Linked DNA regions of Ovis aries. The main gene of each other region encodes a partner of the protein of the gene in region 7 in a complex. Links are inferred from orthologs where the notes say so. Each region holds a gene or a part of one and is shown on either strand. Other genes may lie near its edges.

Evidence for each region.
Region 1: the proteins of GNAO1 (region 7) and HRH3 are in contact, whole or in part, in a cryo-EM structure (PDB 8YN7), measured with the Homo sapiens proteins. The link is inferred for Ovis aries from reciprocal best matches to the Homo sapiens genes GNAO1 and HRH3. Residues at the interface, in NP_066268.1 of Homo sapiens: Ile28, Ala31, Lys32, Asp33, Val34, Lys193, Asn194, Leu195, Asn312, Pro315, Asn316, Lys317, Glu318, Ile319, Tyr320, Phe336, Thr340, Asp341, Ile343, Ile344, Ala345, Asn347, Leu348, Arg349, Gly350, Cys351, Gly352, Leu353, Tyr354; in NP_009163.2 of Homo sapiens: Asn69, Asp131, Arg132, Ser135, Val136, Ala139, Val140, Tyr142, Arg143, Ala144, Gly147, Ile221, Ile225, Arg228, Arg232, Thr345, Phe348, Arg349, Arg352, Val356, Leu360, Cys415, His416, His417.
Region 2: the proteins of GNAO1 (region 7) and CHRM2 are in contact, whole or in part, in a cryo-EM structure (PDB 7T8X), measured with the Homo sapiens proteins. The link is inferred for Ovis aries from reciprocal best matches to the Homo sapiens genes GNAO1 and CHRM2. Residues at the interface, in NP_066268.1 of Homo sapiens: Lys24, Ile28, Ala31, Lys32, Leu195, Tyr320, Asp337, Ala338, Thr340, Asp341, Ile343, Ala345, Asn347, Leu348, Gly350, Cys351, Gly352, Leu353, Tyr354; in NP_000730.1 of Homo sapiens: Asn58, Arg121, Cys124, Val125, Pro128, Leu129, Thr130, Pro132, Val133, Lys134, Thr136, Ile209, Ser213, Lys214, Ser215, Arg216, Ile217, Arg381, Lys384, Val385, Thr388, Ile389, Cys443.
Region 3: the proteins of GNAO1 (region 7) and RGS16 are in contact, whole or in part, in a crystal structure (PDB 3C7K), measured with the Mus musculus proteins. The link is inferred for Ovis aries from reciprocal best matches to the Homo sapiens genes GNAO1 and RGS16. Residues at the interface, in NP_034438.1 of Mus musculus: Glu64, Asp65, Gln68, Ser75, Arg86, Thr117, Val180, Lys181, Thr182, Thr183, Gly184, Ile185, Val186, Gln205, Arg206, Ser207, Glu208, Lys210, Lys211, His214, His236, Glu237, Asp238, Glu239; in NP_035397.2 of Mus musculus: Glu85, Phe86, Ser87, Glu89, Asn90, Glu124, Ala125, Pro126, Glu128, Val129, Asn130, Asp132, His133, Glu134, Leu161, Lys164, Asp165, Ser166, Arg169, Lys172.
Region 4: the proteins of GNAO1 (region 7) and C5AR1 are in contact, whole or in part, in a cryo-EM structure (PDB 8JZP), measured with the Homo sapiens proteins. The link is inferred for Ovis aries from reciprocal best matches to the Homo sapiens genes GNAO1 and C5AR1. Residues at the interface, in NP_066268.1 of Homo sapiens: Ala31, Lys32, Lys193, Asn194, Leu195, Glu318, Tyr320, Phe336, Thr340, Asp341, Ile343, Ile344, Ala345, Asn347, Leu348, Arg349, Gly350, Cys351, Gly352, Leu353, Tyr354; in NP_001727.2 of Homo sapiens: Asn71, Phe75, Arg134, Leu137, Val138, Pro141, Ile142, Gln145, Ile225, Thr229, Arg233, Ala234, Thr235, Arg236, Ser237, Lys239, Thr240, Val243, Val244, Ala303, Gln305, Phe307.
Region 5: the proteins of GNAO1 (region 7) and C3AR1 are in contact, whole or in part, in a cryo-EM structure (PDB 8I95), measured with the Homo sapiens proteins. The link is inferred for Ovis aries from reciprocal best matches to the Homo sapiens genes GNAO1 and C3AR1. Residues at the interface, in NP_066268.1 of Homo sapiens: Ile28, Ala31, Lys32, Asp33, Val34, Asn194, Leu195, Ser264, Asn316, Glu318, Tyr320, Asp341, Ile342, Ile343, Ile344, Ala345, Asn347, Leu348, Arg349, Gly350, Cys351, Gly352, Leu353, Tyr354; in NP_001313404.1 of Homo sapiens: Asn57, Asp119, Arg120, Val123, Val124, Pro127, Ile128, Gln131, Asn132, Arg134, Asn135, Tyr356, Ile359, Arg362, Gly366, Arg367, Phe368, Ser371, Lys374, Thr375, Val378, Leu438.
Region 6: the proteins of GNAO1 (region 7) and P2RY2 are in contact, whole or in part, in a cryo-EM structure (PDB 9K20), measured with the Homo sapiens proteins. The link is inferred for Ovis aries from reciprocal best matches to the Homo sapiens genes GNAO1 and P2RY2. Residues at the interface, in NP_066268.1 of Homo sapiens: Ala31, Lys32, Asp33, Val34, Leu195, Gln305, Glu309, Glu318, Ile319, Tyr320, Cys321, His322, Met323, Val334, Phe336, Thr340, Asp341, Ile343, Ile344, Asn347, Leu348, Gly350, Cys351, Gly352, Leu353, Tyr354; in NP_002555.4 of Homo sapiens: Asn66, Ser68, His130, Arg131, Gly134, Val135, Pro138, Leu139, Leu142, Arg143, Met221, Arg224, Leu225, Ala229, Tyr230, Gly231, Thr232, Ser233, Pro237, Ala239, Lys240, Lys242, Ser243, Arg245, Thr246, Leu308.

What each region holds. Positions count from the first base shown.
Region 1 is NC_056066.1:54,698,588-54,702,668, reverse strand, and holds the start of HRH3 (histamine H3 receptor), read right to left. Parts: upstream 2,801-4,081; coding exon 2,545-2,800; intron 1,495-2,544; coding exon 1,328-1,494; intron 329-1,327; coding exon 1-328. UniProt on the Homo sapiens protein: The H3 subclass of histamine receptors could mediate the histamine signals in CNS and peripheral nervous system. Signals through the inhibition of adenylate cyclase and displays high constitutive activity (spontaneous activity in the absence of agonist).
Region 2 is NC_056057.1:102,026,118-102,030,625, reverse strand, and holds the start of CHRM2 (muscarinic acetylcholine receptor M2), read right to left. Parts: upstream 2,924-4,508; 5' UTR 2,760-2,923; intron 1-2,759. UniProt on the Homo sapiens protein: The muscarinic acetylcholine receptor mediates various cellular responses, including inhibition of adenylate cyclase, breakdown of phosphoinositides and modulation of potassium channels through the action of G proteins.
Region 3 is NC_056065.1:63,093,310-63,096,681, forward strand, and holds the end of RGS16 (regulator of G-protein signaling 16), read right to left. Parts: intron 2,411-3,372; coding exon 2,189-2,410; 3' UTR 511-2,188; downstream 1-510. UniProt on the Homo sapiens protein: Regulates G protein-coupled receptor signaling cascades. Inhibits signal transduction by increasing the GTPase activity of G protein alpha subunits, thereby driving them into their inactive GDP-bound form.
Region 4 is NC_056067.1:54,073,380-54,077,639, reverse strand, and holds the start of C5AR1 (C5a anaphylatoxin chemotactic receptor 1), read right to left. Parts: upstream 2,940-4,260; 5' UTR 2,885-2,939; coding exon 2,882-2,884; intron 1-2,881.
Region 5 is NC_056056.1:207,178,225-207,182,475, forward strand, and holds the start of C3AR1 (C3a anaphylatoxin chemotactic receptor), read right to left. Parts: upstream 2,890-4,251; 5' UTR 2,682-2,889; intron 1-2,681.
Region 6 is NC_056068.1:51,433,975-51,438,188, forward strand, and holds the start of P2RY2 (P2Y purinoceptor 2), read left to right. Parts: upstream 1-1,410; 5' UTR 1,411-1,458; exon of another isoform or gene 1,459-1,684; intron 1,685-4,214. UniProt on the Homo sapiens protein: Receptor for ATP and UTP coupled to G-proteins that activate a phosphatidylinositol-calcium second messenger system. The affinity range is UTP = ATP > ATP-gamma-S >> 2-methylthio-ATP = ADP.
Region 7 is NC_056067.1:23,782,207-23,785,933, forward strand, and holds part of GNAO1 (guanine nucleotide-binding protein G(o) subunit alpha), read right to left. Parts: intron 1,294-3,727; coding exon 1,133-1,293; intron 1-1,132. UniProt on the Homo sapiens protein: Guanine nucleotide-binding proteins (G proteins) function as transducers downstream of G protein-coupled receptors (GPCRs) in numerous signaling cascades.

The DNA.
Region 1 (4,081 bases), on a different chromosome or scaffold from region 7:
GGGCCTCGGGTGGAAGCTCGGTGGTGGCCGCCTCGCGCACTCCATCCAGCCGGACACGGGTGCGCCTCTGGATGTTCAGGTAGATGCTGAGGTTGAAGAAGGTGACACTGAGGAAAGGGGTGAAGAACTCAAGGGTGGAGGCCGTGATGAGGAAGTACCAGTTGTAGAAGAACTCGGCGTAGCAGTGGCCCTCAGGAATGGAGCTGCCGCCAGACAGGTGCTCCCAGCTGAGGATGGCGGGTCCATAGAGCAGGAAGGCCAGCACCCACACCAGCACCATCTTCTGCACCGCCCGCCGCGTGTCACCCTGCTGGGCCCGGTAAGAGACCTGTGGCGGGACACGCTGGGTCAGGAGGCAAGGGGACTGAGCCAGGGCACAGTGCTGCCCAGAGCTCCGGGCAGCCTCCAGGCCTCTGTGCAGGGCCCTCCTCAGCAAAGACGCTTTCCCTTATCCTCCACGAACCCCCAGTAGGCTGAGGCCTGTGACTCTCCCATGGGCTCGGAACCGCCTCTCAGAATCCTAATATTGTGCCAGGCTGCCTGCAAGCCATCCCCCTGCCAGCTGTGTGCTCCCTAGGAGTCACGTCACTGTCCAGTCCTTTGAGGACCCATTGTGTGCCCTGCTCTGTGCTCGGTATCTTTGATATCATCTCATTTAATCTTCACAGCTGCTCCACCCTGGTCCCCACATTCTTGATGGTTCAGGTCAGGCAGGAAAGACCACAGGTGGAGGGGCTCCACGGGCAGGGCTGACTCCAAACCCATGCTCTCTGCACCCTGACCCACTGCCTCCCTAGACTAGGACACACACAGCCTTGGCAGAGGGAGCCTGGCAGAGCCGTCAGAGGAGATGGCACCAGACTGACCTCTGGGGCAGTGCTGCCGCCAGCCCTGTGCCTGCGTGACTCTGACATGGGAAGTGTGGGCAGTCCAGGGTCCCTAAGTGTGGCCACCCACACCCAGGGCAGCTCATGGAGCCTGTCTTTCTGAGGCACACACACCCGTGGGGAGGTCCTACCAAGGGCCCTTGGCCCCAGATAGTCCCTTAGTTCCAGGGACTTTGGACCTGCTCCAGGGTGGAGGCTGGAGTGACCCCCTCCTTCAGGTCCAGACAGCCCCTTCTGCCCAAACCAGGACCCGTCCTACTGGCAGCAGATGGCTACTGAGCAGGCAGGTGGCTACAGAGTGCCTGAGGTGAGCAGACCCCAAGCCCACCCAGCACCGCCCATTCAGAAGTGGCCGTACCCCCTGCCTGGTGCGTCTCCTGGCCGCCTCTGGCCACCCTGCCCCCTGAGAGTGAACATGGGCACCCACATCCCAGACTCACGGCTCGGGTGACCGACAGGAAGCGGTCATAGCTGATGAGAACGATATTGAAGACAGAGGAGGTGCAGAGCAGGTAGTCCACCACCAACCACAGCTTGCAGAGGCCCCGGCCAAAGGGCCAGCGACCAGTCAGCACGTAGGGCACATAGAGTGGGATGCAGAACGCCCCTGTGGGAAAGGAGGGCCATGGCTGGGCAGGGGCCTGGGGTCAGACCCCCCCACAGCTGGGAGATAAGCAGGACCTGGGGTCACATAATGGGCCCCTTTCTGGGACCAGCAATCCCCCCTCCACCTCCTTCCTAGGCATGCTCTGAGCCCTGCACCTGGCCTCCAACCCTTGCCCCACCCCCAGCCCCACTGTGTTCCTGGACTTGGGAGCAGGAAAAAGCTCCAGCGGTAGGGCCCACTGGGCACAAGGAGACCCAAAGCGTCATTCCTGGCCTTTTGCTAGTCCTCTCAGTGCCTGAAGGAAGGAAGAATTTCCTTCCTCTCCGCCCCGCTGCACCCCAGCTCCTATCCTGGCCTTTGGGCAGCTCCTCATCATCAGCTCGGAAGCCGAGAAAACATTTCTCCGGACTCAAAGGGCACTTGACTGCTACCATGCGGGCGGCTCCCAACGCCAAGCCCCGCTCTGAGCAGCTGGCAGACGCTCCTCTCAGCCCCAACAGGTGTCTGGCGCTCCGGCCCCCTCCTTGCGCCCCCCCCCCCCCCCCCCCCCCCCCCCCCGGTCACAGCCGGCAGCAGCGCACGGACACGTGAGAGCGCGCGCTTCAGAGCATCTCCCCAACCCCGCCTTCCCCGCGGCCTCCTCCCCCAACACGGCTCTAAAAATCTCCCTTCCACGTCCCCTCCCCCCAGCCTCCCCCCAGCACCCTCCCCCCAGCACCCTCCCCGTGTCCTGAGTCCGCTGCAGCCTTTGTTTGGCTACGGCGCAGGAGCCCGCGCTGCACAGTGGCCGCAGAGCCTTGCGCCTTGCTGAGCGTCCGCTCGCTCGGACCCCTTCCCCGGGGACGTCCTTCCCCAGCCCCAGTCCCGGGGCCCGGGAGGCAAGGAACTTCGCCTGTGCCCACCTCCCCAAAGTCCTGGACACCCCCTACCCAGGCCTGGCTTCCTAGCGGGGTGTGTCCCCGAGGAAAAGCACCCTAGGTCCACGTTCCAATCCCTGCTGACCCGACCCGGCTGGGCGCCCCTGACTCTGGAGGGGGCTGGGGGCTTTACCCACGAGGAAGTCGGAGATGGCGAGGTTGAGCAGAAAGAAGTTGTTTTGGGTGCGGAGGCTCGAATCCGCCACGAAGGCGAGCATGACCAGCGCGTTGCCCAGCACCGTGGCCACGATGAGCAGCGCCATGAGCGCCGCCAGCACCGCGGTCCAGGCGGCGGAGAAGCCGCGCGCCCCGCCCGCCGCCGCCGCCGCCGCCTCGCCAGCCAGCGCCCCCGACGCGTTCAGCGGCCCGTCGGGCGATGAGCGCTCCATGGCCCCGCCGGCTCACGGGGCGCGGGGGCGCGGGGCAGGGTGCGGACCGCCAGCCGGGCGGCCAGGAGTGGCCCCGGTCCGGGAGCCTGGTCTTTGCGGGCTCTCGGCCCGGCCGGGTTCCCCGTTGGGTGCCCGGCGCATGGTCCGCGGGCGCCGAGACGGGGGCCGGGGCGGGCCGCGCCCAGGGGGCCCGGCCCGGAATCTGAGCCGAACCGGGCCAGCGGCAGGAGCACTGCAGCCCGAGCGGACCCGGGGCGGAGCTGGAGCCGGAGCCGCTGCCTGAGCGTCCGTGCGCCCGGAGTGCCGCGCGCAGCTGAGTGAGCCCCGAGGCCAGCCGGCGGCCCCCCGCGCCCCGCGCAGCGCCCCCGCCATTGGCTGCCGCCCTCGCCCCGCCCCCGCCCCGCCCGGCGCCGGCAGCACCACGGACAGCGCCGCGTGCCCGCCGGGCCGCCGGAGCCCCAGCCCGAGTGCGCACGCCGGCTGGCGAAGAGCCTGGCACGGCGGTCGCCCGAGCTGGGGGCTCGCCTGCGGTCAACCGCCCGCGCACACAGGAGCCAGTCTCTGGGCCGCTTGACCTGCCCAGTGCCCTCCGTCCCGGTGACCCCTGGCTGGCTCTCATCGGGATCTGGGGCGCCTGAGGGGGTCCGGAGTGGGAGTGAGGGGAAACTTCTGCATCCGCGCTCAGGGGAACTTGCCCCCATGGGACCCCCTCCTCGTTTCACCCTTCGAGCAAGCAGGACTCGGAGAAAGGAATCTCCCGAGGAGAAAGGATGGGAGGGGTCTCCGATAGCCGGTGCCCTGGTCAGGGGTTTGCTCCACCCCCCATATGGGTGGGACGTTGGCTCTCACTCTCCCTTGGGCAGGACCCAGGGTAGGGTCCAGGGTGACCTGCAAGGAGCAGACAGATGTGGAGTTACATAAGGGAAGATGGGGAACCAACGAACCCAGCCGCGAAGGGAGCGTGCCCACCCTGAGCTCAGGGGGCCGTAGGCTGGGGGAAAGCGACCGTCGGCCTGGCACCCAGCCTCGGGGTCCCCCCCGGTGGACAGCGCGGTGGTGAGGTCGCTGATGCGGGGACAGACGAGGTCACTGCGCTCCGGGCGCAGCTAAGGCGGCGCGCTGCGTTAGCGCCCGCGGGAGGGGCTGGGGGGAGAGAGGCAGGAGGGAGCGCCCCCTCCCCCAGGCACAAGCGTTCGGATAGACAGGGTCAAGGACGAGACACACACAGCGAGACAGACAGACACGCCCGTAGGCAGACACACAGACACCCACAGACGGGGG
Region 2 (4,508 bases), on a different chromosome or scaffold from region 7:
CCCCCCAGACAACCTCAAACACACTTACATAAACAAATACACTTTTCTTTTATAGGAAGACCAAGCATCTTTCAGGAAGCCCACCCTGAATTTTTGGATCCAAGGACTTTACCCTACTCCTGCCCCATCTCATTCACAGAGTTTTAAAACAGTAAGCTGAGTTAGTTGGTATTTCCATGCCTTTTTAGGGTCAAGTTTTACTTTTCAGCTTTAATTGGCATAATTGTTTAGCCTAATAAAGCATGTAGAGTCAATAGAAGTTGCTTAGAGTACTGCCACAGCTAGACACATTTACTAATAATAGTAATAATAAAAATTCATCTGATAATAACATTACTTCTTGAATCCTTAGCTGTCAAATCCTGCAAAGCTGCTACACTGTTGGCACAAAATTCTTCCATCCATTTGCCAAAACAGTCTCAAAAAGTCCACTTTCTGAATTGTAGCCTAATATAGTTCTTAGGGTGATCTACTGATTTAATTCTATGATTATCCCCTTGTGGTTACCACCCCAAAGACCCCACATACACATACCTAATTGCAGTTTCTTAACTGTGTCATCATCCTTATTATTTGGTTATCAATGAAAGTGTACTCTCTCTATATATCCTTCTATGTATTTTCAATATAATGCATATATTATATTTGATTGCCAACAAAATACAGGAGGAGGACCTTGTGGCCCAAGGTTGGGTGAATAGCTGTAGTGTGCAAGGTGCCACATTTCAGAGCCCTCTCAAGGCGGGTAAACTAGAAAGGCCTGGAGCAAAGAGAGCTGCTGGTCCACTCCAGGACCTGGCTATCTGAACTTCCCCAGAGAAAGGCTGCTCCCCTAAGGGTGGGCTCTCCTCCACGCAGGCGCTGAGGGGGCCAGAGCCTCGGGGTCCCCTCAGAGCAGCTGCACCCGAGCTACAGTGCTGGGGGCCTCTGCCCTCAGAATCTCCCCCTACTCCACCCTCAACCCCAATTCAAGTTTTTCCCAGGCCTTTCCCATTGCCCCACTGTTTCTCTCCGGAATCTGGGCCGGCTCAACCCTCCGCGGAGACAAGGCCACCGCCGCCCTGACTGTGATCCTGGTCAAGGAGGTGGTCCTTGCCGCAGGCGCTGGGGTTGTGGAATTGGGGGGCGGAGGCTGCGTGCGGGAGCGCGGGCGGGTGTGCGGTCCAGCAGGGAGATGCGTGTTGTGTCGCTTGCTGCGTGTACTAGGGGATGGGCAAACTACACGAACCCACTGCCACCCAGCGCTAAGAAAAAAGAGCAAGAAAAGCAACACAAACCAGAAAAACGCAAGATGAAAGGGAAATAGAAAGTCAGTCCGGGGGATTCCGGAGCTTGAGGACTTGAAGGCTCCGTGCTCTTGCTGGGCTCCCCGCGATTGGGCGGGCCGACTTGGAGCCCTTGGTGGCCTCCGTCACAGGCGGGCCGTGGCCGTGAACCGACTAAGGACACGGGAGGGCGGCTCGGGTGAGATGTCGGTCGACAGCTCTGCTTGCCTTAGGCGTTTACCTCCGTTTCTCCTCTTTCCTCCCTCCCCTCCATCCCGAGGGACTCCCCAGAGATATTTCCTTACAGGCAACCCTAGTCTCAAGGCGTGGGTCTGGCGAGCCCAGTGGACCCTCCTTTTTACGATTTTGTGGCTTAGAGCAGCCTGGAGGACCGCGACGAGCAGGAGGCTACAGAGGGATGGGGACGCTGGCGGGAGGCTGAGGCAGTGGGTGTGCGCTGCTTTCTGAGTCAGTGATTCCAAGGAATCTTAAGTCTTGACCTCTTCAGAGCTCTCCCAGGCAAGCAGCGTCCAGCCCCGCCGGCGGCGCCCAGGGGGCGCCGGGCAGAGCGCACAGGTGGAATTGCTGCGCGATCTCCCAGCGCGGGATTGGACCGTCCGTACCTCGCAGGTTCCGAGAGCTACAAGTTATCTGCGATCGCCCGAGTCCGCAGGTGCGAACGGCAAAGGGATATTGTGGGTCGGGTCATTCCCAATCTACAACCCCGAAGCCCGCAGGGGTGGCTCAGATCTCATGGTGAGGTGGCTGTCGGCGCAGCCCTGGCACGGTCCGCGACCCCGCGGGCTTGGGGCTGAGACCCTGTCCTCTAGCCGAGGCGGACCGCCGACCTCGTGTTAGGGCGAAACGCGACGAGGTTGCAGCAGGTTTCCGCCTGCTCTGTCCTGGGACCCTCTCCCCATTCGTATCCCCCCCGCCCTTGGCCACGCTCCTCGGACTACAGCGCGAAGCCTCCCTCCGGCCACCTGGCGCGGGCGCTCACAGAGCGGAACCCGCGGATCCTGTGGGGCCGAGGAGCCGGGCCTCCACCCCAAACGCCTGGGAGACGTGGCCAGACCCCAGGCTGGAAGAAACGTGAGGGGCAGGAGCGGGCGAAGCTCCCCGGTTTGCGGACACCGCAAGGAGGGGGGAGCTGGTGACAGTGCAGGGGGAGGGGGCCGGGCTGCAAGAGGCAGCGACGCCCGGGCGGGCTCGGGCCCCCAGGCTGCCTTTGCCACATTCCTCCGGACTCCGTGACCCGCGGAATGGCATCCCTTCCCGCGCTCTGCCTCTTCTGCCCCTGCTTTCCGTACCCGCCATCGCTGCCCTCAGTTCTCCAAGCCCCAGAAATCAAAGTTTCCGTTTGAGGATCTGGACTTGTGGAAGAATTCTCCAATTCCCTCACCCCAGACCCCTCGGCGCCCGTTCCGGAGAATCGGGAAGTGCCAGGGTCCCTGGCGCTGGCCAGCGGAGGGCTGAGCAGCTGGCTGTCCTTACCTGCCGCCGGATTGGCTCCAGTTGCCTCTCCAGGCTGCAGTGTCCCTGGCGTGGGCTGGCTGGCAGGAGCGTGGAGCCCTTCACGGGTTCGGGGCTGACCCGCCGCGGAGCTAGCCGCGCGCGGCTCAGAGTCCGAGGCCGGGCGCCGGCTTGCGCTCTCCCTTGATCTTGCAAACGAAAAGGAAAAGATTAGTTGGTGCCGCGACACTCGGAGGGGTGGGGCGGGGGAAGGCGGGGAGAGAGCGGACCTAAAAGCTCCGGCAAGAGCCGCGGGGCTCGGGCGCGCGCTAGCAGAGTCGCGCACCCCACACGCGTCCCAGGCACTTTACGAGTCTGGAGGCCCTTGGCGGTGTAGACTGGAGTTAAAGTGACACTGCCCCCGCCCGCCACACCAAAACACCAAAGGCGAAGAAGCAAAAAGGACTTTCAAACCTGGCTTTTACGAAGAAGAGGTGTCTGGAGAGCAAGATAGAACGGAGACCTGGCTGGACTGACGAGCTGGGCGGGATTCATTTCTTCACCAAAGTGATTGGGGAAGTAGTTATTAGTGTAGGGGCAACTAATTACTAATTAGTTCGGCGCTTCTGGCCGTCTCCGAGTGGAATCTGCAGTTTCAAGGCTCTGGCCAAGCCGCAGGCTGGCGTGTGTGCGTTCGTGTGTGTACGCCTGTCCGTGTGTGTCACGCGCTCTCGCTGGAGCGGGTCTCTGCGTCTGGGCACCTTTGGTATAAAAAGAGAGTGTGTATGTATTCGTCAGTGTGTGTTCGATTAGCTGCGATGGGCAGACAATTTCTGGAGAAAACATTTACAATTTTCTTTCAATATGACGGGATTAGTTGCTGTTGAAGGCGCTCCTCCAATGAAATCTTCTCTGCTCTCTGATTTGGTGGTTCTTCTGAGCAAATATGACAGGCTTTTCTCCAGGCTCCTTTCTGCTCCTTTCCACGTCCATCCCCAGAGCCAAGCTCTCCATCTGCAATTTCTACATCAGAACGTTTACAGTTACCACCATTGCCCAGTCCCATTCCTGCAAGTATGATTGCTATCAAAGTGACATGACATATTGGGAAGAACTCGGTGTCGCTTTCTGATTGCCGAAGACGCTTAAGACCAGTTTTTCCAGGTGGGAAAATATTAGAATAAATCCTCTATGCTTTGTAAACATATAATCGTGCTGGACTATTCACAGATTGTTTATTTCTTTGGGACACTGGCAAATGTATAAGAGGAAGAGGTAACTGTTTTCTTTCTTCTTTTACACTAGGGTCAATGCCTATGTTTTCTTTGACTAATAGGCATCAGATTACAAAGTATTTCTGGTCCTTTATGAAATTTGGGATCTCCATGAAAAAAAATCAGTATATAATTTTTTTCTGTTAAAAAACTTAGCTTTTTATTTTTTCATTTTAATGAGAAATCCATTCCAAGAAGAATATTCATTATTTTTAGGCTGTAGTCCCAATTGATAAAGATAAAATGATATAAAACAATATGATTCTAAAGTATAGTTGAGGACAAGACTTGCTTTTGCGAAAGTATATGTATATAAACATAGCATCAGTGTATTATATGCTATAAGGCTGCATTTTCTTTCATCTACCTTTGGCAATCAAATGAAAACAGCTTGAAACCTTAATTGATGTATCCAATTAAGTTCAGTTCAAATCTTGATGCCTAGGCCTTTGCTAGTTGTCAAAGGGAATACAGAATAGCAATAGTCGCTGCCCCTGTCTTTTATAAGCTCCCTATT
Region 3 (3,372 bases), on a different chromosome or scaffold from region 7:
GTAGCCTAGATGTTCTGTCCACCCCTTAGCTGGTGTTGTGTGCAGGGGGTCTGCACGGTACCCTATTTTTGCTCTAGGCTGCTCAAAACTGGCAGTTGTGTTTTTTGGTCTCTTTGTATCTTTTGAGTACAGAATTTGCCCCAGCTATGCATGCATGGGGCTCTTTTGTATTGTAAAATACAGTTCCTTTGTATTTTGTTGCTGAAGGAGATGTGTATCCAGGTACAAGCATTGCAGCCTTGCTGCAAAGGGTCCCAGGTCCCAGGCTAGGCTCACCATCAATAGGACACAACAGCTTGACATGAGCTGGGTCGTCACCAGCTGAAGGAAGTTACCATCCTGGAGGCCACCATTAGACTTGGGCCTTGGACGTGCACCTCTGCCCATATACCAGCAAGCTTCCCCGTGTGTCCTGTGACATTTCTGGAGACCAGCTCTCCCACAAGGCACCCCCAACCCTGAGCACTTCCCTTCCCTCTTCCCCCGACCACACAGCCCTTGCAGACAGGATTGATCTCACTTTTGGGTTTTATTTTTATTTCACAATAAAATAACATGCTGCAATAGGAAAACGGGGATTGAATAAGTACATCATTCACATCTAGGAAACCAGCTCCCGTGGTCAACAATAAATAAATATTTAAACGGCGAGGAGTTCCTGGCGGGCGCCAAGAGGTTCCCAGCACTTCAAGAGGTAGCGTCTGCTGGAAAGAGGGAGACAGCCAGGCTACCACCTCCTGTGGATTTTCCAGGAGAGGCAGACGCACAAATAACAATAAATAACAATAGCAACAACACAACAACAGCAATAAAAAATAATGTGCCATGACCATTGTCTCAAAACCAACAATATGTTAGGCTTAAATACTTTTCTCCTGGAGGAGCTCCTAGCGCAGAGAGAACAGTGTGGATTCCCTGGGGGCAAGAGGGGCTGCCTGGTTAATTCACCTCCCCAGCCCAGCTGGGGCAGAAGTCCCACCAGGGAATGGGTGTTTGGTGATGCCCTGGGGTGACAAGCAGGTTCTGATTTCCCCTAGTCCTGCTCTTCCCAGCAGCCTCTCTCCACCCCAGTTTCATTCCCGGCTTCTACAGGCTATCCAAGTTCATCGAGGTCCCTGCCTCATTTCTCATCAACACCCAATGAGTACACCCCAACAAGCTATAGGAAAGAAACACAAGGTTCCCCTTCCATCCTGGGGAATCTCTTTTTCCCTGTTCTCATCCTCACAAAAATAAAATATTAGCTTGATTTAAACAGGACTTTCTGGAACTGCCATGAGGTTTGTCTCCCAGGAGCCCTTTCCCCCTTGTTCCACCCTGCCCAGCATAAGGGCTGGACTAGTCGCTCACCAAGAGGCCCCACATCTTGCTCCAGGCAGCTCAGAGCTAAGAGGGGACACATCCCAGCAAGAGGCTCTCAGCAGGTCCTGCTCACAGGTGGACCCGGTGGCATCCATGGAGTCAGAGGCCCCCGCAAGAACCCACCAAGAGCACCAAGGTTCATTTCGCATGGGCAAGATGGCCTGTTTTCGGGGCTCTCTACTGATTTGGAGAGGGGCTTGAAAGCCAGTTTTTGAGGTAAATATCTCATTCGGGGCAAGCATCACATCGGTACTCTGGCCTTGACAAGACTGCCAGGCTGGACACTGCCAGGTTGAGAGGTGCAAGCTAGGCAACCCCCCAACCCCGCCATAGCCCAGAGGCAGGTGAGGAGGACAGGATGAGAAGACTCCACCATCCATGGCTCCCTTCATGCCCAGGACAGTCTGGAAATTAGGAAAACAGGTCAACCATTCGACAGGCAAAACTGGCTAAGCTGGTTGTCTTTCTCTCCCTCATTTTCAAGTTCCCCTTTATCCATGCATTTCGCAAAGCCCCCTGGAAATATCCCTTGTCCTGTTGAGAATGGCCAGAGCCAATGATGACTCTTGCACCATCATTCTTCCCCCCCTTAAAAGCCCCACACAGCCCTCATCTTCAGCCCTGGCCCACAGGTCCTAGAAGTGGGGTGACCCTCTCACGCACGGAATTCAGTCCCAAGGATCTGGAGGTGAGGGTGTCACCGGGTCAGCTTTTTCCTTCGCTGTCCTCTCTTGCTTTGCAGAACCTGCCTCCCCCAAGGGGACAGCACCTTGGGGGTGGGTGACTCAATCTCTCTGCCCGGCTGGCTCCTTCCAGGCCCTGAGGCTCAGGTGTGCGAGGCCTCAGCTGGGCTGCCGCTGGACGGGGAGGCAGAGGCGGCCATGGCTTGGGTGGCCAGGTCCCGGTAAGCGGGGGACTTCAGGAAGCGCGGGTAGGAGTCCTTCTCCATCAGGGCTCGCACCTTCCGCTGCGCCGCGTCGAAGCATGCAGCCGTGGCGGCCTGCAGGTTCGTCCTGGTCAGCTCCCTGGTCTCGTGGTCTATATTCACCTGTGGGAAGGAGCACAAGCACGTGGGTGAGTGGGGGGCTCAGAGCCAGGGTGAGGGGACTGGCAGGCCTGGGAGGACTGGCGGGGGGCAGTGGAAGGAGCACTGGGTTCTGAACCAGGAACTGGGGCTCTGCTGAGTTGACCATCAGTGGGCTTTTCAGCTCTGGGCCTGTCCTCCCTACTACTCTCCACTCTCTCAGAACCACCCAGGAGATGTTAAGAATGGGCACAGATCCACCCTCGTTTCACCTGTTTCTCTGTGACAACCCAGGTTCGAGTCATCACCACCTCTCTCCTAGGCTACTGCCAGCACCTGCTATTGGGTCTCTCTCTCCTCCCCTGAACCCCAGGGTCTGTTCTCCACCTAGCAGCAAAGACAGCCTCACAAAGCACAAGCCAGTTTGCTAGCAGTTCTGTTGTTCCCCATCACTCCGAGAAAAGGCCGACATGGGTGCTGAGCCCACAAGGCTACCGGGGCCAGCACCTGGCCGCCTGCCACCTGTGTGACATCACCTCCCACTCTCTCTCACTTCCCGCTCCACACGGGCCCACTTGCTGGCCTGTGAGCACAAAGGCACTCTCTGATCTTTGTATTTTCTCTTTCCTGTGTCTCATCCTCCGACCCTGTACCCTGGTCCTCCCTCTCATAGCCTGCTTTCTTTTTATCAGAGCATAGAGCACCCCCTGGCAATAATTATTTAATTGGTTACTGTCATCTTCTCTCACTGGGGTAGAGGCTTTGTGTTCACTGCCATATCCTTGAGGACTATAAATGTGCCTTGCATGTAACTGGTGCCCAACATATCTTCATGGGAGAAATAAAAATGCTCAGAAAATAAATACAATATAAGATACAAAGACAAGCCATTACTTCCTTCTCTCCAAGAGGTGGCATCATATTCCTTATCAAACACGGTGGAGGCCAGAGGGAAGGTTGAAAGGGTCACCAACCACAGACCTGAG
Region 4 (4,260 bases), about 30 Mb from region 7:
AAGTTTCACCAGCCCCATGTGGCTGGTGGCTTCGTCTCAGACTCCAGCGGTCTGGGGCTCCTAAGCGATTCCTAAGTGCTTCCTAGGTGTTAGTTTGTTAATTCTCTAACCACAGTGTTTACGGTACAACAAGCCCAAAGGCGGGTACTCTTTTTTTCCTAAGATCAAAGGCTCGTTTTTAAGAGCCCTTGCCTACTGTGTGGAGAAAGGGCCAGATCAGAAGCTGAGAAGGAGAGGTGATTGGAATTGCCCAGCTGTGGTGAGGGATGATGGTGGTTTGCACTAGGGTGGTGAGTGTGAGGACTCATGAATGGATCAGAGGAGGCGAGGGCTAAGGAGAAGATGCTTAGGAGAAAAGCAATCAGAATCACCAAGTTCTAAGTCCTTTTCCTGTATCAGCTCTTCTTTTTTTGCCACTGCAATACCCACTTTGCAGATGAGAAAACTGAGGCTACAGACAGCTTAAGAGACCTTTCCAGGTCCTCACTGTTAGCAAGTGACAGAGGTAGGAGAGACCTTCAGAGAGTCCAACCCTAGAACCTTCTCTGAGAGGTTACCAGGCCTCAGGCGTGGTGGGAGTGAGGGGACCCCATGCCTTCAAGGCAAAGGGTCACACGGTAACAGGGAGGATGTCACACACCAGAAGGTGAAAGAACACCAGCGAGGCTGGCAGGTAGCCAGGATGAGGTTGGAGGAGCCACAGATGTCATGTTAAAGGAGATGTGTTTTATCCTGGGGTCATGGGGAGCCGCAGATGGTCTTTGAGTCACAGAGGGACTAGATGAGCGTTCTTGTTCAGAAAGCTTCCTCTGGCTGCTGTGGGGAGGTGAGATTAGAGGCAAGAGGACCAGAGAGGAGGCTGGGGCTGGGACTCAGGCCAGCAAAGACGGGAGCGATCCCCAGAGGAGGAAGAAAAGTAGGAGCGTTAAGAGGGGCCACACGCCCCTTCCCTCCCTTGCAGGGCTTCCGTCTTGCCATCTTCAGGGCAGGGAACGTCCTGCCAACTGTCCCCTTCTTTATGGCGGAAATAATAGACTCAGAGATGCTGTCAGGCCTAGGAAATACACAGAAGGCACGGGCTGCTTTTTTTTCTGGAACATCCCTCTCCCCATTTCTACGTGGACACAATGTCTTTAAACAGTCCACCCACAGAACCACATAAAACCACTAAGGCATCCTCAGAAACTGGGATACAAGGATGGGGGTGAGCATCTCGACTCATCCTCTTGAATCTGCACAGTCTTTGAGACTCAACATCCCTGAGCACGAAGAAACACAGGCATTTGCATTTTAAAAACGATGTGAAAAAGACAAGCCTCCGGATCCTTTCAGGATGCGAGGAACTACCTTTCAGGCTGGCAAAAAGCAAAAATAGTTCCATCTGAACATGCAGATGGGTGTCTAGACAAGTAAATACTCTCCTGCTCTGAAGATGAGGAATATAAATTGGTACAGGTTTTGGCAATATCTGTTAAAATAAAAATTGTCTGTGTCTTAGATTCAGCATTTGCAGTTCTGAAAACCCAGACATGAATCCAAAGATATAATTCTGGTGTTTCAGGGTTTGCGTTTTTTTTTTTTTTTTTTTTGGCTGCCCAGCCTGTAGGATCTTATCTCCCTGACCAGCGATCGGACCCAGACCCCTGACAGTGAAAGTGCTGAATCTTAATCACTGGACCACCAGGGAATTTTCTAATTACAAACAGCTAAATTTCCACTGATAAGCAATGGAAACTCTCACTGGCATATCCCACAGCTGATGAAAAGATAAAGGGAATTTCCCTGAAACACACCAGGATATACCAGTATGTTTCTCACAGATTAAGCTGACGTTTGTAAACGTCAAGTGCCTAGCACAGTGCCTGGCATGCAGGTGGAGGTTGTCAATAATATTATAAGTTATTCACGTAAGAAAAAAAGCGAGAGGTAGGATATCGTGTAAAAAAGACTTCTCTTTGTAGGGTAGAAAGGATAGACACATCACAGGCATTGAGAGCCAGCTGTATGCCAGCCACTGCTGAAAGCGCTTCCCATGTATTATCTCACTGAACTCTCTCCATGACCCTGTGATACAGACTATCCCCATCTTAGTGACAAGGAGAAGGAGGCTCAGACAGACGAGTCTCTTCAGCTCCTACACAAGATAGGCAGGATTTGAACCTAGTTTCGGTATGATCTCCATGTCAAAATATTCCTTACTCTCTACACTGTCATGGACTGTTTCCAGAAGTGTTAGCCACAAACTGTTGCCCTGATTCCACCCTCCTACGTTTCTGGTTACAAGAAACCAGAGCTACGAGGAATCTGAGTCTCTGGGCAGGGATGGTCCTTTCACTGAGTACCCTTTAAGGATTTGGGACTTTTTTTTTTTTTTAATTATTAGTATTCAGAAAGAAAAAGCTCTAGTCCATCTTTTAATTAAAAAAAAAATTCTGACATTACAGAGCTAAAGTGAAATGTATTAATATTCCACTCCTATATTTCCATGACAAAAAAAAAATCTCATGAGCCAAAAAAACACAGGGATTAGCTTATAAAACTAAATATGGATCTCAGCATCAACTGAGCAGAGAAAGGAATTAAAACATTTCAATTTTAGAAAATCATGGGTGAATAATAAAATGTGTAGAAACAAAATTTTCAAACTATTTTGGGATTATTTAACAGAGAGGAAAAGTCAAAGCTAATCACGGGCCCTATAACCCCTTGACAGTCTTACTTCTTAGCTGCTTCCCAGCCCCTGAGGGGGAGAGGAAGGTGAGGAGAGAAGGGGAGAGGTCAAGGACTGGGAGGAGGAGGAAGGAAAAAGGGAGCAGATGGTGCCAAGAAGGGAGAGCACACACATAGGGGGTGTCTGCCCCCCGTTCCCCTCTAGACTCACCATCTTCAGGTCTCTCCCAGATTCTCCTCTGATCAAAGGCTCCCAAGGGCTGTGGCTTGCAAGCCCCAAGGGAGGGTGCAGATAACCAGAGAGGAAATGACCCGTCTTACCCCTCTGGGGTTCTCATTGGTCTGGGGCTTGGGGTTTCTTCCGCAAGGCACACACCCAGTGAACCCTGAACACCTCCTCCAGCCGCTCCATGGAAGGGGCCAGGAGGAAGTTCCAGGTCCCAGGAGGAAGGAAGCCAGACGTTAGAGACTCCCACCTTGTCGAGACCTGGCCCCTCTCCCTGCCTTGAGTTCCCCATTTGAGAGGCTGTCTCTTTCCTTCTGGAGAAGGAAATGGCAATCCACTCCAGTACTATTGCTTGGAGAATCCCATGGACAGAGGAGCGTGGTGGGCTGCTGTCCGTGGGGTTGCAAAGAGTCGGACACGACTGAGCGACTTCACACACACACACTCACTCTTTCCTTCTATGGCCCCAGGTAGCCCTGAAAAAGCTCAGGGGTTCAGTTGGCTTCAACCTGGGAACTGGGAATTGATTGTGAGCCCCAGCCTCCCAACTGGGTTCCATTGAGACCCAGAGAGGAAAAGCAAGTCTGTGAAGATGGCCCAGTACTTGAGGACTATTCAGTCTTCCCGTCTGCTGCTGCTGCTGCTAAGTCGCTTCAGTCGTGTCCGACTCTGTGTGACTCCATAGATGGCAGCCCACCAGGCTCCCCCGTCCCTGGGATTCTCCAGGCAAGAACATTGGAGTGGGTTGCCATTTCCTTCTCCAATGCATGAAAGTGAAAAGTGAAAGTGAAGTCACTGAGTTGTGTCCAACTCTCAGCGACCCCAGGGACTGCAGCCCACCAGGCTCCTCCATCCATGGGATTTTCCAGGCAAGAGCCATCACCATCTTTTCCAGTCCCTTTCTGGGTTATTGCTGAAACATGCTGGAGTCTGGGGTGGGGAAGAAACTATGTTATTAGTTTCTCATTGCTGCTGGAATAAATGGCCATAAACTGAGTGACTTAAAACAATAGAAATGTATCCTCTTACAGTTCTAGAGGCCAGAAGTCAACAGGGCTATATTCCCTCTGTAGGTTCCAGAGGAGAGTGTGTTCCTGCCTCTTCCGTTTCCACTGACTGGCAGCACTCCTTGACTTGTGGCCACATGGTTCCAATACCTGCCTCTAAGGACAGAGACATCGCCTTCCCTCCAACTGCGCGTCACAAGTCTCCCTCCGCCTCCCTGGTATAAGCACCCTTGTGATTACATTTAAGAACCCTCTAGGGGACATCCTTGGAGGTGCAGTGGATAAGAATCTGCCTGCCAATGCAGGGGGCACGGGTTTGATCCCCGGCCGGGGAAGACTCCACATGCTGTGGAGTGA
Region 5 (4,251 bases), on a different chromosome or scaffold from region 7:
CCACTCATCTGTCGATGGACATTGGAGTTGCTTCCACATTTTAGCTATTGTGGATGTTGTTGCTATGAACTTGGGTGTAAATGCATATTGTTTTATATAAACTGCTTTCTTTGATCACTTTTATCATTTAGCAGTCTCCATATTTACAGTAAGACTTATCTTGATGAATATTCAGACTTTATCCTCCCCCCTCATCCCCCAAGATATCCCTTATAGCTGATTTGTCAACAGTTGTATCCAGTTAAGGATCCCACTTTGCATCAGGATATTTCTTAAGTCTTTTAAATTAGCAGCTTTTCTTTTTCAAGAATACTGGCTTGTTTGGGGGGTCTGTTGTTCTCACCAGCTACTTCTTAACCCTTTGTAATTAGTCTTCTATCCCATCACTCTGCTAAAACTGCCTCTAGAGAACAAATACAAGCATCTTTTCCTTTATCTTTATCCTCCACAATATCCCTATTATTTTACACTGGCTTCTTGTCACTCTATTTCTCTTGGCCTCTATGATATAACACTTACCTAATTTTCTTTTCTTTCTTTCTTTCTTTCTTTTTTTTTGGCTGTGCTGGGTCTTCGCTGAGTCATGTGGGCTCGCTGGTTGTGGCTCATGGGCTTAGCTGCCCTGTGGCATGTGGGATCTTAGTTTCGAGACCAGGGATTAAACCCACCTACCCTGCATTGGAAGGCAGGTTCTTAACCACTGGACTGCCAGGGAAATAACTGTAATTTTTAACATTCCCATAAACATACCTTACTTTGTAGCTTTCCTGAACAATTCACTATTCCAAGTCAATGCCATTTTCTACTCCTTGGCGACTGCTGTTTATTTTGGTCTGGAATGATGTTCTCTGCCTTAACCTCCTCTTTCCTCCATTCTTAATCACTATCTGTTGAAATCCTAGTTATGCTGAAATCCTAGTCATTTTTCAAGTTCAAGTTCAAATATATTTTCCTTGAAACCTCTCTTATAATCCCAATCATAATTTACTTCTTCAGCCTCCTAAATTTTGTGTGTGTATAGTGGGGTTTAAACCATTTTTTGTATTCTCCGTGCAATGGTGCATTTTGTTCTGCATTGCAATTATTTTCATGGCTGTCTTGTCTATTACTCTAGTCTTAAGTTTCGTAATGGTAAACAAATATCTTATTTCTAAATGCTTGCTCCACAGAATTTAGCACAATGCTTTGTAAGACGTAAGGATTAAAGGTTACTTGAATGGATGGATGCTCATACTTGGGGTTTCTTTTCTTTTTCTATTAAATTAAAACTTTAAATTCTTATTCGGTTAATTCAGTAAGGATGCTATCTCTTCTAACTTCCTTCTTTTGTTTTCTAGTTCCCAATTCTTATTGGCTATAACAGCATTTTATGTTTCCTTTGGTAGAAACCCAGAATACCATATGACTTGTTCTGCTGAGTTGACTAAATGCTAGCATCGGGATTAGCAGAAGTTAAAATAACAAGAAAACAAAATAACAAAAAAGAAGAAGTGCTTCTCATTGTCCATTCTGTAGCCTTGCTTATTCTAATACTCGAGTCCTGTCAGGCTCTCTTCCTTTGCTGTTGTGCACGGCAGCTACCTTGATCACCTGTCCTACACACATATTCACGCGTCGATTCATAAAATACAGAGAGATGGAGAGAGTCACAGAATTCAAGGGCTGAAAAGAAAGTTAGCAATTATTTCTTCCTGTTTCTATGTTTATTTTGTAGTTTTGGACACTGAAACTCAACAAATTAGGGGGCTTTTACATAGTCACAACTAAGAGTGATCTCAAATCCTAGGTCCAATTATTATCAGGCCAAAACTCTTTTGACTACAAATAATCACATAACAGAAAAGCCTTTGGTATTGCTAACAGAGAAAGGCATCAAGAGCAGCACAGTAATAAAGAATACTAAGGAAATAATAAAGATTGAAAAGAGAAAAATTCCAATGTAAAGAAACTGAATCATCTGGCATGAGCTATACTTTAAATATCACATTTTGAAATGAAAGTGTATCTGAATCAGAATCTTAAAAATCTTTCAGTTCAAGGTAACTTTTTATATTTCTCCAAGTGTTTGGTTGAAAATTACCTCTGTATCTTTTTTTTTTTTAAGTTTTCAATACTGAATTGGTTTTGGTTGAAAAGTAACTCTCTCTATATATATTTTTAAATTTTCAATACTGAATTGACCAATCAGAATTAAAAAGATAAGTAATATCCTGAAACTAAAATTCAGCTATAATAGGGAAAGAAAAGTAGATACCAGAATCAAATACTAATAACAGGATGACAGAATCAGTAGCAATAAAGAATGAGGAAAAAAATAAAAGAGAAAAAGAGCGAAATGAAATAGAAAAAATATATATATTAAGAAAAATAGATAATCACTGATTTGGAAAATGGAACTATTGGGAAAAGCTGGAATCAAAGATCAGAAGGAGAAACAGCCAATTTAAGAGAGGGGAAAATGATGTAAAAATTCAATATTAGTTTCAGAATGAAATGTAAACAGCGAAGATAAATAGAATATGGAATAGCTAGAAAATGAAAAAGGTGGACATGGGAATAAAGCAAAAGAAATAACAGTTGGGGAAAGAAGGGGAAATAGAAAATAATGACCTTCAAACCATTATCTACAATGAAGAGAACAAGCTGGGCATAAGTCATCAGGTGCATCTAGGTTTCCTTACCAAAAACCCGAGACAATAGCTGAAGGCTTCTGCACAGGTCTGGAGGTCCCCACTTGTCCTGTCTGGTCCCCGCCCTTGACCACAGTCAGGTCCTGAAGTACAGTTAGGAACTTTGATGAGCGCCTCCTCTTTCCTCTCTCTCTTCGTTTCTGATGATAAACCAAACCCAACACTTTCCACTACTATCTGACTCCACAGGAAGAGTTTCAAAGTGAGTCACTTCTGAATGTCTCAGATAAGAAACGTTAAAAAATAGAAGCGGAAGAGCATGGTTCTCAGAAGTTTTCAGCAGTACAGAGTATGGTTGAAGAAAGCACTTTTGTACATGAACTTCCCACTTGATAGGGTTTTGCTTTTTTGTTTTGTTTTAGAAAATGCTCCAGTGGTATATGAATGTGGGTGAGGAGTAACTAGGGGGAATGACCCTCACAACCCCATGTAATAAATCTTAACCAACATCTCTTATACACTTAGTATGTGTCAAGGAATGTATCATGCAAAAATCAGAGTTTTTTGTATCATGCAAAAACTATATTCTTATTTCTAGAGAGTCACAATCTGGTGTGAATATGCACCTATACAACAACAACAACAAATGCTGTAATAACAATCCAGACCATAATGATAGAAGTAGCAGCAGAAGTAAAATACTGAATAGTAGAAAATAACAGTGGTGTATTTAGCCTGGGGCAATCTAGGAAAGTAGACTTAAGATCTGGGAAGGTCCTTCAAGATTTATGGGACTTCTCTCAAAAGAGGTGACAAACTGTTTTCCTTATTTATTTGACTGCATTGTGGCATGTGAGCTCTTAGCTCCCCAACCAGGAATTGAACCTGTGACCCCTGTAGTGGAAGCTCCAAGTCTTAACTACTGAGCCACCAGGGAATTCCTAGTGACAAGCTGTTTGGAATGTTTAAATGGCACATAGTGGCATCTGGCCCCATCACTTCATGGCAAATAGATGGGGAAACAGTGGAAACAGTGGAAACAGTGGCCAACTTTATCTTTTTGGGCTCCAAAATCACTGCAGATGGTGACTACAGCCATGAAATTAAATGGTGCTTACTCCTTGGAAGAAAAGTTATGATCAACCTAGACAGTATATTAAAAAGCAGAGACATTACTTGGCCAACAAAGCTCGTCTAGTCAAGGCTATGGTTTTTCCAATGGTCATGTATGGATGTGCTGCTGCTGCTAAGTCACTTCAGTCATGTCCGACTCTGTGCGACCCCACAGACGGCAGCCCACCAGGCTCTCCCGCCCCTGGAATTCTCCAGGCAAGAACATTGGAGTGGGTTGCCGTTTCCTTCTTCAATGCATGAAAATGAAAAGTGAAAGTGAAGTCATTCAGTTGTGCCTGACTCTTAATGACCCCATGGACTGCAGCCCACCATGCTTCTCTGTCCATAAAGAAAGATGAGCGCTGAAGAATTGATGCTTTTGAACTGTGGTGTTGGAGAAGACTCTTGAGAGTCCCTTGGACTGCAAGGAGATCCAACTAGTCCATCCTAAAGAAGATCAGTTCTGGGTGTTCATTGGAAGGACTGATGTTAAAGCTGAAACTCCAAT
Region 6 (4,214 bases), on a different chromosome or scaffold from region 7:
CCTGGGTCCTCATACTGATACCAAAGGAATTTTTCTCTGGGCCAAAATAGCATTTACAGTAGGCATCTGATGGGAGAGGCGAGAAGAGGGTTGGCTGAGGTCTCCAGTGCCCAGGAGGCTTTCCCCACAATGAGACCCCAAGGCCTGGACTCCTCAAGTAGGGGCTCCAGGGATTCCTAGCCCCTTAGAAGCTGCATGGATCCACTCGGACAATAGATGGAGGAGGCTGGACAAGGAGCCTTTGTGTCTCCTGGGTGAAGGTCCCTGGGGCACTGCCGAGGCGGCCCAGCCACACAGAGCTGTGTGTCCACCCTATTCCCACTCCTGGCAAGACTGCAGCCAGGCCTAGTCAGCTGATGTGGGACCTAGCAGGACCCAAGGTCCCAGGGCCCTGGGCAAGCTCCTCGGCCACAGAAACAGACCTTCTGTGCACTGGTCCAGACACTGACTGTCCAGAGCCCCACACAGAACAACACTGACTGGTGGAAGGGTGACTGTGATCGCCTCTATTTCAGAGAAAAGGAGGCCCCAAAAGGGCTGGAATTGGATCAAGGTCTCCCAGAGTCAGGGCTGAAGCTGAGTCAGAACCTGCACTCTCCAAGCCTAGACCAGAATGAGAAGGGGGTGGTGGTCATTTTCATTCATTCATTCAAGCATTCCAACAAGTATTAAGCAACTCCTGAGGCCTCTGGGACCAGGAGAAAGAGGCAGACTGACTGGTCCTTGGTCTCCTGGAGCTCACAGTTCAGGAAAGGGATAGACTAGGGTCCCTGGCTACAGGAGCCATCCGAATGGGGTTGAGGGCAGAGAAGAGAGTAATGTGTGTGGCGGGAGTAGGCTGAAAAGGCAGCTCATGGGAAGTAGCTCAAGATGACAGACCAAAAAAAGCCTGTTCTTAAGGAATTTCTATTGACTCTTTCTGGCTGAGATTAAGCACAGAGAGAGCACAAGAGGCTCCCTTCACTCTCCTTGCCAGAACTGGAGGGTCAGGACCCTGAGCGCCCAGATTTCCTCCCCACAGGCAATGGGAGGCCAGCGCTCTGAGCAAGGTCCCTGAACAGGTTCTCTGGAAGCTCTGCGGTGGGCAGTGACAGCGGTCACAGAGACATTGAACTTTGCAAAACTTTAGCAAAGTTTCTGAAAGCCTTTCATCACCCCAGTGAGGAAGGCCAGGGAGCCTCGGTCCCCAGGCGGTAGGTCAGTCGCCGCCCATCCCTGCCCGGGCAGCGCCCTATGGCCCTGCAGTGTTCCCGAGCGGGTAGCGGAGTGTCTCTCCCCGGCAGGAGGTGGCGGCGGCAGTGCCTGGGTCTGTCCAGAGTCCGGCCCGCCCCCGGCCTGACCCGGAGGGGTGGGGAGCTGGGCGGGGCGGCCGAGGCTCTCGGGCACGTGTGTCCCCGCGGTGGCGCGAGCACTTGGGAGCCAGGTCCGGGCACCGCGTGAGGACTAGCGCCCTGCGAGGTGAGGGCGGGCCGCCGGCAGGACCAGCGGGCGGAGAGAGGGCCGCGGGCGGGCTGGCCCGGGTGCGCGCGGGGTGGCGACTCGGCCGGCGCCGGGCAGGCAGAGCGGCGCGCGCGGCTGGCCGAGAAGGCACGGCTCCGAACCCCTGTGAGAGCTCCGGCGGGTCCGTGGTCAAGCTCGGGCTCCAGCGGAGTTCGATCGCGGGGAATGTGGACGGATACCCCGGGTGAGTGCGCATATTCGGGCAAGTGTGTGTGTCCCTGGGTGAGAGTGTGCGCCCCTGCGGAGTCAGGTAGCTGAACCTGTGGAACTTGTTTGTGTTTGTGCTCCGGTACCGGCGCCCCCGCAGCGTGGGACCTAAGCCAGAGACAGGCCAACCCTGGAGGTCCCGAGCCCCTCTCTCCAGGGGCACCCTGGGTGGCAGCCTCGCCTGGGCATCGGCAAGACTGGGGCGGGGCGGGGGGTGGGTGGCGCGCGGAGCAGTGGCCTGGAAGGACAGTTAAGCCTCTGTCTGGGGACTTTTAATCTGGCGGGCTGCTGTAGGAAGGGTCAGCCTGGAGAAAGGCAGTGCCCTCTCTCACCCCCCTAAGGAGGGCTCCCAGTGTCAGGCTTAGGGTCCCCCAGGAGCCAGACCCAAGGGCCAGGCCCTGCTGCGGACCAGAAATGCCAGTTTGGGGTCTCTGGGGCTGATGGCAGCTGTTCCTTCCAGTACGCACCCTCAGTTTCCCTGGGCTTACAGCCTGAAGTGCCCACTTTGTTTTGGATCTGGCTGGAATAATGGGAGCTTTTGAGGGCCAGGGTGGGGCCCAGATAAAGTCTCAGCTGTCTATTGGTGGAAATGATTGGGAAAGAGAGTCTTTGAGCAGACAGGGCCCCCTAAAAGCTCTCTGGAGACCCAGAGACCTTCCCTCCATCATGCCTTGTACACCATGTGACCCTGAGCAAGGCATGTCCCTTCTCTGAGCCTCATCTGTAAAAGGGGAATAATAGTGATGCGGAACTTAAGGACTATAGAGGGGCTGTCATGTGGGTCATGCTCAACACCAGTGTCCTCTTGGGCAGCCTCACTCTTTGAGGTTAGAAAGATCAGATCCTGGGGGATAACTTCCTGAAATTCAAATCCCAGTCATTTTGCTCTTTGGGCTAAACTTTCAGAGAACTTCCACTGGATCACATCTGAGCCCCTTGGCTTGGGACTCAAGGTATCTGAGAGCTGGTCCTTGCCACCCTCTCCAGCCACCTCTCCTGTCTGACTTTCCATCCTCGTAAATGCATGTAATCCGCTGCAAATGCTAGTCACTTTCTTGCCTCTGGACCATTCCATAGTCCATGCTCACTGCCTGAAATGCCCTTCTACTCATCTTCCTCAGTTGGAGAACTAACCAGCGCAGATGCCCCCTCCTCTGGTAAGCCGTCCTTAGTTAGCCAGGTTGGATTGGAGCCGCGTCTGGGCCCTTTCGGTCTTAGAGCCCTAATTCTACCCTGAACTGTTAAGGTCTCTGTCTCCTGCTTCTCATTCCCAAGGTCTCAGAACCCCTGGAGGGCAGGAACTGGATCTCACTCATTTTTGTGCTGCCAGGATCCTGCACAGCACTGAGATGAACTGGGGGAGAAGCAGCAGCCGCTAAGCCCTGTCCCCTGTCCCCAGCGTCCCCAGGGAAAGCCTGTCTACAGCAGAGCGCCATATCAGTATAAAGGACGGGAAACCAGTCAGGCCATCAGAATGGGTGGCACAGATTGCCCTAACAGTGTGTCCCGGGGCACTACAGGACTCAGGGTGTACAAGATGAAAACTTGGATTTCATCCTGAAGGCAACTAGGGAGCCATGGAACGTTTGTGAGCAGGGTATGGTCAGAACAGCATTAATAGAGAGTATATGGTTTTCTCTTTCTGACTTATTTTATTCTGTATGACAGCCTCTAGGTCTGTCTGTCTATGCAAGTGACACTATTTTGTTCCTTTTTATGGCTGAGTAATATTCCATTGTATATATGGAATATTCCATTCATCTATTGATGGACATTTAGGTTGCTTCCATGTCCTAGCCTCAATTTGTATATAGTGCTGCAATGAGCATTGGGGTGCATGTGTCTTTTTGAACTATGATTTTCTTTGAGTATATGCCCAGTAGTGGGAATGCTGGGTCATATGGTAGTTCTATTTTTAGATTTTTAAAGAACCTCCATACTGTTCTCCATAGTGGCTATATTAATTTACATTCCCATCAACAGTGCAACAGAATTCCCTTTTCCCCACACCCTCTTCAGTATTTATTGTTTATAGATTTTTTTAAAATGATGGTCATTCTGATAGGTGTGAGGTGATACCTAATTGTAGTTTTGATTCACAGTTTTCTAATGTCTACTTAGTTCTTCCACCCATATTTTGATTGGGTTGTTTGGATTTAAAATATTGAGCTACATGAGCTGCTTGTATATTTTGGAGATTGATCGCTTGTCAGTTCCTTCATTTGCAAATATTTTCTCCCATTCTGTATGTTGTCTTGCTTATGGTTTCCTTTGCTGTGCAAAAGCTTTTAAGTTTAATTAGGTCCCATTTGTTTATTTTTGTTTTCACTTTCATTACTTTAGGGGGTCGGTCAAAAAAGATCTTGCTGTAATTTATTTCAGAGTGTTCTGCATTACATTTAATTCTTTAATCCATTTTTTGAGTTATTTTGTGTGTGTGTATGGAGTTTGGGAGTGTTCTAATTTCATTCTTTTACATGTAGCTGTCCAGATTTCATAGTACCACT
Region 7 (3,727 bases):
TGGCCTCCTCTACATCAGCACCATGGAGACCACCGTTTCTTACTCTTGGCGCTACTGACACTGCGGGTGTGATAGTTCTTTGCTGTGGAGGGCTGTAAGATGCGTCTCTAGGAAGTCAGCAGCATCCCTGGCCTCTACCCACTAGATGCCGGTAGCACCACCCTCATCAGGACAACTGAAAACCTCTCCAGACCACTGCTGGTGTGTCCTGGGGGGCAAAGGGGCCCCGGCTGAGAGGAGGCTGAGCAGATCAGTGTTGGAGCACATGTGTCTCATGCCCACTGAAAACCTGGGCACGAGTCTGTAAATGTGAATGCATTTCCTGAAAGCTGGAATGTAATCCCAGTGTCTTCAAACAGAAGACGCATCTCTGACCACTGAGGACCATTCCCTGGAACCCCTGATCCAGGGGCCAAGGACATGTAAACCTCCAGACGCCTGGAGTGACTCGGCTGCAGTGGGCAGTCATGTGGCCCCATGGTCACTGGAAGGGCCACCTCTCTGCCCTCCCCTCTCTTGCCCACCCACTCTCTCTGGCCTTCAGTGCTTCACCCCCCACCTTCTTTCCTGCCCTGAGGTCGATCTCTCCCCTCTGTCCTCTACTTTTCCTTATTAGTTGTAATGCACTATTAAAGTGTATGCCTGACTATTTATTTCACTTGTCTGATGGTTACATATTCCTTATTTTTAAAGACAGAGGAATAGAAAGCTTATTATTTTCTCAAAAAGAAAACCACGTAAGTTATTTTCTGCCTGTTGCCCTTGATTAGTACTTACGGGGTCAAGGATTCTCCAGGGGAAAAAAAAGGTTGCTGCACTGAAAACCTTCCTTCTGGAGGGGGGCCCGGCCCACTCCAGGGCAGGCGGGTGATGGCCCCGGCCCTCTGGGAGCCCTGCTGTTAGCTGTCTCTTGTGCCCCCGACTTCCCTGGCCTCCTTTTCATCCTGGGGGGCAGGGGATGGGCAGGAGGAGATGCCCCTTCTCCTTCCTTCCTGACATACAAGGCAAAGCATCTCACAGCGGTTCCAACCTCAGCCCAGGATGCCTTCTTGTCCCACAGTGCCCGCCCCAAGCCCCTTCCACGCTACATCGCTGCCCTGCTGGTGGCCTCCCGCCTGCCCAGGACACTCACTATTTGGCAGAGTCATTGAGCTGATACTCCCGAGACCTGTTGAAGCACTCCTGGATCCCCGAGTCGCCCCAGAGTCGCATCATGGCGGAGAGCAGCTCTGGAGAGAAGGGCTCCGTGTCTTCCATCCGACTCACCACGTCACACACCATCTTGGCATCAGCCTGTGAGGAGATGAGAACACGGACAGAGTCTTTTATCTGTTGGCACAACAACGACCACTGGTTGGTGACCCCAATCTCGAGTCCTTTGAACTCCACCACCCTCCAAGACACCGAGAGAGACAGACACCCCCCTCCCCCGCAGGCCACGGCTCATGGCTCAGGAAGTGAGCAGGAGGTGGCAATCTGCAGGTGGCCTTCGGGGTGGGAAAGACATGAAGGAAGGGGGCAAGGTCAACACCTGGAAGGTGCAGAGCTGACAAAAGATTCTCAACCAAGGTGCTTGTGTGTGTGCTAAGTTGCTTCAGTTGTGCGACTCTGTGTAACCCCACGGACTGCAGCCTGCCAGGCTTCTCTGTCCATGGGTCTCTACCAAGGTATGTAGGGGGCAAAGCCTTCGGTGGAAACTTTCAGAATCGAGCTGTCAGCTCGGTAGCTATTCACGTGTCAGGGCCTGTCTAATGCAGCAGGTCAACGTGAAGGTGCAGGCACTGTGTCCCCTACTGCATGCCTGCCCTGGGAAGGAAGCTGTAACTAGCCTGGAGGCAAGCAGGCCAGGCCCATGATGCCACCCCAGACCCAGCTCCCTAGGGTCAGTGTCCCACAGACCCCAGCCCTCAGATTCCCAAGCCTCCCACCGGGAGGGCCTGGGTCCCGGCCCCTCTCTAGCACCCGAGCCTCTCCTGCGGGCAGCCACCGGAAAGCTGGCCCTGGGACCCAGGCGCTGAGTGCCTTAAGCAGGCGGTGACTCAGGGAGGCACGGGTGGGTGAGCAGGGGTGGTGCCTCCACCTGGGGCTAAAAACAGGCCTGTGAGTCAGGGCCCACACACTGATGCTGCTCCGTGTGCTCGTGTGACCTCGGGAAGGCTCACCCGTGTGAGGAATGACGGGGAAAAACCTGGCCAGTTTCCCAAACTTCTTCCTTTGGACCCCACTGTCAAGGTTTCTGCCTGATCCAGAGAGAAGGGACTCGGGGACCAGAGGGTGGTGGGCAGGGCCAGACTTCTGCTGGGGGGAGACACCCTCCCACCTAGAGCCATGTTATGCCTCAGCCAGGCCACTAGAGGGTGTGGTTTAGAAACCTGCGCCTGCAGGAGCCACTTGGTGCTCCTCTATGTCTGACGTGGAATCCTGGGAACTGCATTCCAGTGGGATGTGGTGCACGGTCTAGGGAAGGGCAGCCTGGAGCTGTCCTGGCTCCGCCTCATCACTGAGGTGTGGTGGTGGTAGGGGTCTTGTGCTGGCGACACGTCTCGATCGGCCCTTGCTCTCCCTTCCGTCTCCCCAGCTCAGTGCATGGCACCACGACCGGCCCAGCCACTGAGACTCAAGTCACCCACCTCCATCCCCATATCTACTTCTCCCCATCTCCTCTGGGACACCCCTGAGTCCAAGCCACTCCCTGTCTCTTCCTGGCTGTTCCTGGCCTCCCTCCCAAGGGTTCCTTGCCTCCCTCTTGCTTCTCTTCTGTCTGTCTTCCACACCAGTCAGCAGGGAGGCTGTAGAAAAAGAACTCCCCATTTTCCCAACTGGGGACACTGATATCCAACTTAAAGATGGCATCTCCTCTTTTTGCTTGTGGCAAAAACATGACCATGTGACCAGTTCTACCCATGGAGAGATCAACCCAAGTGTAGTGAGGTCTTTGGAAAAGGCTTTGTAAGGGAAGATGCACCCCTTTTCTCTCACTTCTTCCTTCCTTCCTGAAACCTGTGATGGCTGGAGCTCTAGCAGCCACCATGGGTCATGAAGATAAGATCTATACCCGAGGGACAGTGGACTGGTGATCTAAAAACAGGTCCTTGACAACTTTGTAGACCCTCCATACCTTCCGCATTTTTCTTTTTCTTACTTTTACTTTTTGCCTTTTTTTTTTTGACTTCTAGCTCACTTAAATCACTGTTTTCTAGGTCTCGGATATTCACAGTCAAACCTAATTCTAATGGATACAATAACTCTCTCTGTTTAAACTCTCAATAGCTTCCCATTATTTCTAAATTCCAAACTCCTTACCATGACCTCCAAAGCCCCGGCCTGACTGAGCTCTGTTCAGCCCACCTCCCACCTTTCCCCTCTCCTGGTCCTCTAAGCACACAGCCTTTCCTCTGTTCCCCAAGCAGTCAGGGTCATCTTGCCTCAGGGTGCTCCACCCAGCCAGGCCATCCTTCCCTGGGCTCTGCCCCTCTCCATCTTACTGGCACTTGCTCAGGGAAGCCCTCCTCTACGCCCCCAGGTAGAGTCTGGTGCACCAACCACACCATATGTCACAGCTGGCGCTGCATGTGCCTGCCCCTCGGCTTTCTGCTTATTCAGGGCACCCCCATCTCACAATGCTCTGTACACAGTTGGTGCTCTGCAGTATTTGTGAGATGCACGGGTCCTTGGCATCTTACTACCAGGCATGACCCGAGTTTCTCACTCCATGCACTATGTCTCC